Nothobranchius furzeri: one gene and its partner. The protein of the gene in region 2 interacts with the protein of the main gene of each other region in a pairwise test. Links are inferred from orthologs where the notes say so. Each region holds a gene or a part of one and is shown on either strand. Other genes may lie near its edges. The genes, in order: aig1 and rchy1.

What was found.
Region 1: the proteins of rchy1 (region 2) and aig1 interact in binary tests that used the Homo sapiens proteins (3 or more experiments, as listed by UniProt). The link is inferred for Nothobranchius furzeri from reciprocal best matches to the Homo sapiens genes RCHY1 and AIG1.

What each region holds. Positions count from the first base shown.
Region 1 is NC_091742.1:15,117,367-15,121,828, forward strand, and holds the start of aig1 (androgen-induced gene 1 protein), read right to left. Parts: upstream 2,871-4,462; 5' UTR 2,715-2,870; coding exon 2,574-2,714; intron 1,411-2,573; coding exon 1,255-1,410; exon of another isoform or gene 1,196-1,254; intron 1-1,195. UniProt on the Homo sapiens protein: Hydrolyzes bioactive fatty-acid esters of hydroxy-fatty acids (FAHFAs), but not other major classes of lipids. Show a preference for FAHFAs with branching distal from the carboxylate head group of the lipids.
Region 2 is NC_091757.1:28,790,751-28,795,115, forward strand, and holds the start of rchy1 (RING finger and CHY zinc finger domain-containing protein 1), read right to left. Parts: upstream 3,029-4,365; 5' UTR 2,960-3,028; coding exon 2,909-2,959; intron 2,492-2,908; coding exon 2,372-2,491; intron 2,253-2,371; coding exon 2,137-2,252; intron 163-2,136; coding exon 84-162; intron 1-83. UniProt on the Homo sapiens protein: E3 ubiquitin-protein ligase that mediates ubiquitination of target proteins, including p53/TP53, TP73, HDAC1 and CDKN1B. Mediates ubiquitination and degradation of p53/TP53; preferentially acts on tetrameric p53/TP53.

The DNA of each region.
Region 1 (4,462 bases), on a different chromosome or scaffold from region 2:
ATCATGTCCAGGATGACTGAGAACTACACCTCCATGCTGCAGCAGCATTCAGTCAGAACAGGAAGTGAAACTTAAACGTAGCTGCTGTCAGTAACAACCTAACAGATTTTAAACATTAAACTCAGTGTGATCAGCTCTGAAAAGCGTTGATCATAATTTGCAGATCCCGTCAATTTTTCATGGAGATCAGCCGCGGATTCCTCTTCCGTCAGCATTCTAGGAATCGAAACTAGGAATCGAAAAAAAAACAGACTTTGAACGATCCCGGGAAAAATGAACAGTTGGAACCGGTTCCAATCGATGCTCGTTGCCCAACCCTAACTGGAGGACATTAGGGTCGAGTCTCTGCAGCTTATTCATGTGTACCGATTTGTTGTGAAGGACTTTGCCTTGCATCAAACTGGCTAGATAAATAAAGTTTCAATTGAGTGTTGGATCAGAATCCTAGAAGATAAACCATGTCTGTGAGGCATGAGCAGGACTTTCCTGAGATGCATCACAAAAGCCTCATGTCCTACGGATCCTGAACGCACCATGAGAGGATGGCCTCAGGGTCCAAAGTGTCTCCATTGTTGGACAGAGGCCAGGACCAGTTCTACTGAAAAGGGATGGGATTACCTGCCTTTCACCTGTGCTCTAGTTCAAGATGCCTGACTTCACACACACACACACACACACACACATTCGACGCAGGTTTTAGACCAGTCGAGGTGAACATCCTGTCTTGTTCTGTGTAATCTGAGCTCTGCACACAGGCTGTGTGTGTGTGTGTGTGTGTGTGTGTTTACACTCGCTCTCCTCTGAGAAAGGCTTACTTCCTGCCGCTCCAGCAGGAGGGACCTGATTCAGGAGATAAAGCAGAAACCTGCTCAACATCATTAGCGGTGCAGCTAGCTAAAATACAACAACGCGGTCCCTAAATGACGATTGGCCGCATCCCCCGTCGTTTTCTTTCCTTTTCTATTGGTTGTTCTACCTGTTACCTGCAGCAGGAGGCTAAGCTAGCAACACAAACATTAGCCATTAGCATGTTCAGCCTCTACCACTGATTGGTCGGTGCGGAGCAACATTTAACATGATTGACTGGTTTATACTTAACTTTTCTCATATGTCTTACTACCGCCCTATTGCCCAGCCCCATCTGCACCAAGCGTCACCATGGCAACATCATCTCACAGTTCTCTCACTTATTGACCTCTAGCAGCTGACGCTGGTCTGGCTGTGTGTTCTGGATGTTTGCATCCATCTCCTCACCGCTCCCACGGGGAAGGCCATCACAGCCATCATCCAGTCCCTCAGGCCGATCAGCTTCTTCAGCTGGCGCTCCTGCTCCCTGCTGTCGGCTCCTTTAGTCAGCAGACTGGACACGTCGATCAAGACACACAATCCGAAGAACACGGCCTGGATCACCTGCAAAGAGGAGCAGCGACGGACTCAGCAGCTGCCAGATTACAGAGAACACCCAAATGTCCAACGATGGAAGACAGATGATGCAAACTCAGAGTCACTGTAAGCTGATCAGACGTCCTGCACGAACGCAGCTCGTGATCCTCATCAGAAAGACAAGTAGCCTCCGTTTAGAAAGCAGCTAAATAAGTTCATTAAAAATGCTGCAATAATAACCAGATCCTGTCACATGATCTGTAAATCCTGCAGATTATTTCAGAACCCGCCTAAACTTCCCTGACTGTGTAATAAAACTCCCGTGGATGGAGCACGTTCACCATGATGGTTGTGACCTTTAGCTGCAGCAGAGTGGTGAAGAGGATGTCGGCATCCCCCATTCTCTCACCCCTCCAGAGTATAGTGTGTCAGCAATGGATGAGAGGATGAGCAGACACCGGGTCTGCTAGGTGCTTCTCCGCTACATAAATAAGATACTCCTATGAGTAGTCAGCTAGCGCCGACACACACACTCACACACACACACACTTTCCTTTTTTATTTTAGCTTTTTCTGCCAAAAGTGACACGGTAAATAAATGAATCTTAAAAGACGCACCAGAGGGCATAGCGATTTCTGTGTCATCCTGTCACCATAACACTCATGTATCTGGTTAAGGTTTGGGAGGAGTTCTGCTGTGTGGTGGAGTTGCTAATGCTAACATTAGCTTCTGCAAGCGGGGATGTTCTCTGCTGTTTCCTGGACGCTAAACCAACAACAGCCTTCCCCATCGTGAGTCCAGATGAACGTGAAGTGAACCATTTCTCTGAACAGAGGCTGTTCAGGAACAACTCAGAACAGCTGACTCGGAACACTTTACATGTGTTGGCGCACGCCGCCCGGCGGGGGGTTGTCTCTAACGACAACATTCAGCAGCACAACACCTGTTCCGGTTCAGCTCACCTCTACACGCATTATCAGACACGTGATTTCAGGTTCGTGATCTGAAACTATCCGGTTTTTGTTTCCTCCCTATCGTCACTAGAGCCGAACAAAGACAGCGGCGGGAAACCGGATCCTTTCATCCGAACCCGCGCAGCTCGAGCCGAGGGCGCCGCCGCCGGTGTTCTGCGTCCTACCCGTAGGCTAATTTTACGGTAAAACGGAGAGACAGGGACGGTAAATCCCACCAGGTCGATGAAGGTGAGGAACTTCCAGCTGCCGCCGTAGGTCTGGTGCGCCGGCATGTCCAGGGCTTTGTAGTGGCAGAGGATGGAGAAGTACGACAGCAGGATGGCGACCCGCAGCACCTGCGAGGGGATCAGCGCCATGATGCTTCCGGTCCCTCCGGTTGTTGTTTGTGTTGATGCACCTGCTTCCACCTGCCCGGTGTCTCCGGTTAGCGGTGGTTAATGTCCGGTTGTGTCTCCCCGCACCGCCCAGCTCCCCCGGGGTATCTCAACTGCTTCCGTGTTATGATGATGATGTAAGGGGGAGGGCGTTTCTACGCGTGATGATGAAGATGAAGGCCACTGCCTGGTTTTACTCCAATGCCTGAAATAATAAAACACGATTTTGTTTCTTTGTGTCTTCATTTATCCTCAGTTTATGTAAAGTACGTCAAATATTTAGTTTGACGTCATTTTTCAACAGATTAGATCTTCTGACCAGTAGGAAAACCGATCTACTGTGGCCCCAAAAGGGAAGTAGAGAAAAGGCTGCAGCCAGATCATCCTTCTTCCCACCTTGGGTTTTGTGGTTTTTCTTTGCTCTTTTTAATAGTTTTTATGGCATATGTGAATATTTCTGTTATTTTATTTGTGCAGCGCTTTGGTCGGTTTTAATGCCGTGTTAAAAGCGCTCTATAAATAAAGTAGAGCCCTACAGTCTAGAAAACTGCAGCTTTTCCAATAAAACAACATAAAACTAAAGGTGGGACTAAAATAACATTAAAATCATTCACACATTTAATCACATCTTGCATTTGAAGCAAGACGAAACCTTACACTGACACACACAATAAAGCCCTGCTTTGCTTATGTTACTAAAATCCTGTGTTGAATAGAAATATAATTAGAACCATTTTTTCAGAAATTAAAGAGAGTTTACAACATTGTCTGCGTTTGTTGTTTAATTCTGTGCCTCACTAAAATGATGTTTAATATAAAAATAGCTTTTGGGACGAATTTCTTTGAATGATTAAAATGCGATTAATCAAGAGTAATTAATCACAAACCCTCTGAGTAATCAGATACATTTTTAAATCGACCCCCATCCCCGAAAACCTTACCCTGGTTTTCCATAGGAAGCTTCAGTGGTGAATATTATAGGTTTTGATATACTTTTCCCCCGCGAGCTCAGCAGCACGACCCTTCCCACCGGGAGCATTTCAAACCCAAATCAGCAGCGAATGCATTCCACAAAGTTGGTCCAGTTAGGTTATGAACTCTTCACACGTGATTTTGGCAGCATGTATCCAAAAGGTATGTGGTTTAGTTCCCATTCTGTTTACCTCGGCTTTGGAGGTTTCACAGGTAATGACGTGGTCTACTTAACTAGTAAAATACCAAGTTTACTCACAAACTGTTTAATTGTTAGTCGGTAATTTAGTTTCCCATGCAGGCTAAATGTAAAAACAGTCTTCTACCACCCTTTCCTACATTAGCTATTGTTAGTAGGCTATAGATGGAGAAAAGCTCAGAACATCAACACTAAGTGCCTTTCATGACACTCAAGGCAAGGGCGCCCCCAAGGGGTGGCCACGTCCCCCCCCCCCCCCCCCCCAAGAGCCGGTGTTAACAAATCATATTAATGTTCAGTCAAACCATAAATTGATCTTATTTATTCAAGACATAATTGAAAAATAAAAATTATACAATTAATCAGTAAATGTGTCATAGAAATATTCTTATTAAGTTCCAGAAGTTAAAATATATAATATATATTTGTTTTGCTGGTAAATCATTGTTTTGTATCATAAATCTGTGTTTTATTTTGCAACAAGTGGTATCTTTCCTCACTGAGTTACCGCGAGATTTGATGTGAGATGATACTTGTACGTGCATGAAGAAACACGCAT
Region 2 (4,365 bases):
GAAACAAAGACAAAACAGAAAATAAAACAGGTGTGGGTCTTTTAGTGAGAGGAAGACAGGAACAGCTGTGGAGCTCTGGTCACCTTGTGGTTTCCTCGTAGGTCCTGGGCTAAACACAAGTTACACTTCTCACAATGAAAGTACTTCTCTCTGGGCCCAATCCTGTGGAGGTCCAAACACACAATAACCCGATTAGTGATGGCAGCTCATTTATGACATAAAGTGAGGTAAATAAAGCCCTCTAGCTTTGTGGACACGACTTTTTCTCTGGAACTCTTGCTCTTGTTTTCAACATAAGATCTGGGGCAGGTTTGAGTTTTCCTTTCATTTTGAGTCTTCTAGCACAAAGTCTTCAAATGTAGATGTTGGGAGAGCCCTATTAGAAGAAAGATTGTAAATACAGAAATAAGGAACTGTGCAAAAGTTTAAGGTAGGTGTGAAAAAATACTGTAAACAGAGAAAGCTTTTTAAAATGGAAGTGTTAATCATTTATTTTTCACTAATCAACAAAAAACAGTGAATGAACAAAAGAGAAATCTAAATCAAATCCGTATCAGATCTTCTAGCTACACTTGACCACAGCTGTTGAAGGAACTGGGCTGGTAGGTTGTTCCAAACATCTTGGAGAACCAACCACAGATCTCCTGTGGATGTAGGTGTCCTCACGTCCTTCTGTCTTCATGTGATGCCAGACCCTCCGTGATGAGATCAGAGCTCTGTAGGGGCCACACCATCCCTTCCAGGACCTTGAAACTAGTTCTGAAATGACTTTTGTTGGATGCTTGGGGTCACTCACTTTGCATTTTGTACATTGGTAAAAATAAACAATCATTGTTTACATTTCTAAAAACATTCTTTGTTTACAGCATTTTTTCCACACCTGCCTAAAACTTTTGCACAGCATTGTATAATTAGCATCAAACCACAAAAGTAACTGCCTGTGTGAATTCTTGGACAAAAAAATGAACCCATGATGTCCATCAGCATCACTTTGTATACGTATATTTAGATGTTCCAGCAGCTTGTTGCCAGATAATGCTCAGGGTCCGTCCCATATTGATAAAATGTCAGATAAATAGTGGTCCAGTGAGAGAAAACTAAAGCAGAATACTGCACCAACAACCTACTTGTGTTAGTGTGTCTGCTGTGGAAAGTCCATGCACGTTTTGCAGATATCCGAGGTAAAACTTCCAAAACTATCCTTTCCTTTTGTCAGCTCAAATATAAACATCACAGAGGGCCACATCATCCAAAAGGAGCCACGGGCCACAGCACCCTGCTCTTCTGCAGTTCTCACTCAAACAGTGGGTGAAAAGTACAAGACAGAAAATGCAGATGAACAATGAAAACTACCTTTTTTCCTCCTACAGCATAAAAATGCCAATAATCCCATCAAATATAGAAATGTATTCTGGCTAGATTTGAAGGTTAATAGGTGCAAATAGTGTTTTGTTAAATAGCCTCATTTCTTCCATGCGATATTTCAGTTTTTCTTTTTTGAATAAATCTGCAGAAATGTCTAAACTTCTGTTGTTCTGTCAATAAAGGGTGCTGTGTGTACATACATGAGGGGAAAATGAATTTAACTAATTTTAGCAAAAAGGTTGCCATATAAATACAAAGAGTGAAAAAATGATGGGGTCTGAATACTTCAGTGCCCACTGTATGTGTGCTATTCAGCTGACCTCTGACCAAACTCTGTGATGAATGTTCTCAGCGTTCTACCCGGATTCAGGCCGTGTTGCTTTTTCAGCACCAACCAAAGTTCAGCCCAGCTCTCGTGGGGTGGTACTTTTCATTCAGATAAATTGATTATAAAACATCTTTGTATAAATAGGTCAAATCCTAACAAATTAAAAAAGAGTGATCCAATCCAAGATTCAAGCTAAAATGGGTTCTTGAACTCAGTGTTCTTTGCTGCATAACAACAGCGAAATTCTTTACCAAATAAAAACAGATCTTCCTCTGAGGAAATGGACATGTATGAAGTAAACCAAGAAAAAACAAGATGGTCAGAAAGCCCGACAACTATTGTTCAAGACCACGTTAAAGGATGACGTCTGGCTCTAGACCTCTGCACTACGCTGAGGGTTAGTGATATTGGGACTACATCCTTACAACTCCATGGTCTCTCACCTGCATATTCCACAGGGCTGACAGTGGTACTGCTTCTTGTCCTTGTCAAACAGGTGACAAATGTCGCAGTAATACTCCCCAAACTGCATGTGACACTGCTGACAAGTCTGCTGCGTCTAGAGGAAAACAGCTCGTTTTTATTTCCACTCTTCTGATTAAATCATCGCAGAGATCACAAGGGAATGTGGGAATGACCACATTTAAGATGAGGCACACAGTAGCTCCAGGTGTTTACCTGCTGTAAGGTTTGACACTCGGAGCACTGCACCTCTCGGACTTTGAATCGGTCCATTTGGTGGTTCTCCTCTGCATCGTGGCACAGCCGACACACGTACAGTTTACCGCAGCAAGGTGCCTGCAGGTGTAGGGACAGGTTTAGTTCATCAGTCTGAGGCCAGCCTCAGCTCAGCTGTAAACGGGTTTGGTAAAACTCACGTAAACTTTCAGCTATATGGCATCATGTGTATATAATAATTAGCTAAATCTAAACGATAGTTTCTGATTTGATGGCAGATAACCCAAAAACTAAAAAAAAAAAAAAAAACAACAACAACCCTAAAACACTTTTCTCTTTTTAATGAAGGTAAGAGGAACGCGCACGGATCAGTCATTCATAACGTTACGTAACAATTTTCATATAAAACAACATTTCCATAAGCGACAAGCCACCTCTGCGTCGCCGCTAGCTTTGCTAACGACAGCACCAACAATTACAGTCCAAACACTCACATTTCCCTCAATACAAGCGATTTACTTCACACACTTTACCCACTTTCAAAAAACAGCTGCGGACATAATGCGAGCACCCAGATGGAGACGCCATGTTGCTTACGCTGAGGTCTTCTTCTTCTTCGCGTGTTTTCTGCCACCATAGTAGCTGTTTGGCAAGCCGTTTTGACATTTATTCAATGTTAATCGTTTCCCTTCTGTTCTATTATATGATGTGCGTGGCAGAATTGAAATATGGCAGCAGGAATGGATGTAAATTGCAAATTGAAAAAGTTCAGTTCATTCTAATGTGCATGAAAATTTCAGATAGGTCATATCTTTCATCTTCAAAATAGCATGTTCCTCAGCAGCACAACAGAACAATTACATTCTTTCTGGTTAGTGAACACTTTCAAAGTCTGATGTAAAAATCGTACTAGGAGAAACTTAAATGTCACATGTATGTAATTCTGTATTAATATAGCTAATTTTTTATATCTGATATTTAATGATAATTGATTTTGTTTTATTCATGTTTATACCTCTTGATTGATTTTGTTGAAATTAGGATGATGCATGTAATAACTGTATTGTTTACATGTTTATTTACTTTTGATATTTGTGACACTGTTTACATTTTGTAATGAATTAATGGGTTTTGTAATGAATTAATGGGTAGGCTTAAATAAGTTTAACTTCAGCCTATGCCTTTTCATTCATAAATTATATCTAAAGAAACTGTTTAATTTACAAGTGGAATTTATACTTGTGAAAATTATTATTATGATCTTTATTAGATAATTATTTTCCTTTTCATGTGTTTTATATGTATTGTTGTGACGGAAAAATAAATACAAATACAAATAGATACAAATAATCTAATTCTGGCAATCCAAAATGACAAAAAACACGTTATAACCATAGACTATAACAATGGATGGAACATATAACATGGGCACGGATCTGTAATATCTCCTTCTAAATGCTAAATTGATGCCTAGTGGGCGGTTCCCACCAATTACCATCTTAACCGCATCGGCATCTGGTCATTTTCATTTAAAAAAAGGGCAAAAAAGGTGAAGCTGATAGTGGAGCTGTGAGGGTGGGGGCTGATGATTGACACCCAGACTCTGAGCCAATGTAGCTAAAAGCTAACTAAAGCTAACGGAGGCCAGAAAATCATGGTTTAGCTACTTTGATATCCTCTATGACATGCTAAGTGTAAATAGCTGGTACAAATTATTTAGCAGACATTTTTTTATGTTTAGCAAATTTTTCCCTACATTTAACAACTTTCGTCACATTTAAAATAATGTTTAAATAACAGATAATTTCAGTTTATCTAACTCTTAAATCTAAACTTAAATGCTGAATCTAACTCTAAATGCTAAGTCAAGTCAAGTCAAGTATTCTTTTTTTCCACACTCGGTCCAATTTGCAGAAGTTGAAAAAAACAAAAAAACATTGTACAGATGAGATAAAATGAAATGAGCACCAAATGACATGCTAAAGCACAAAAGA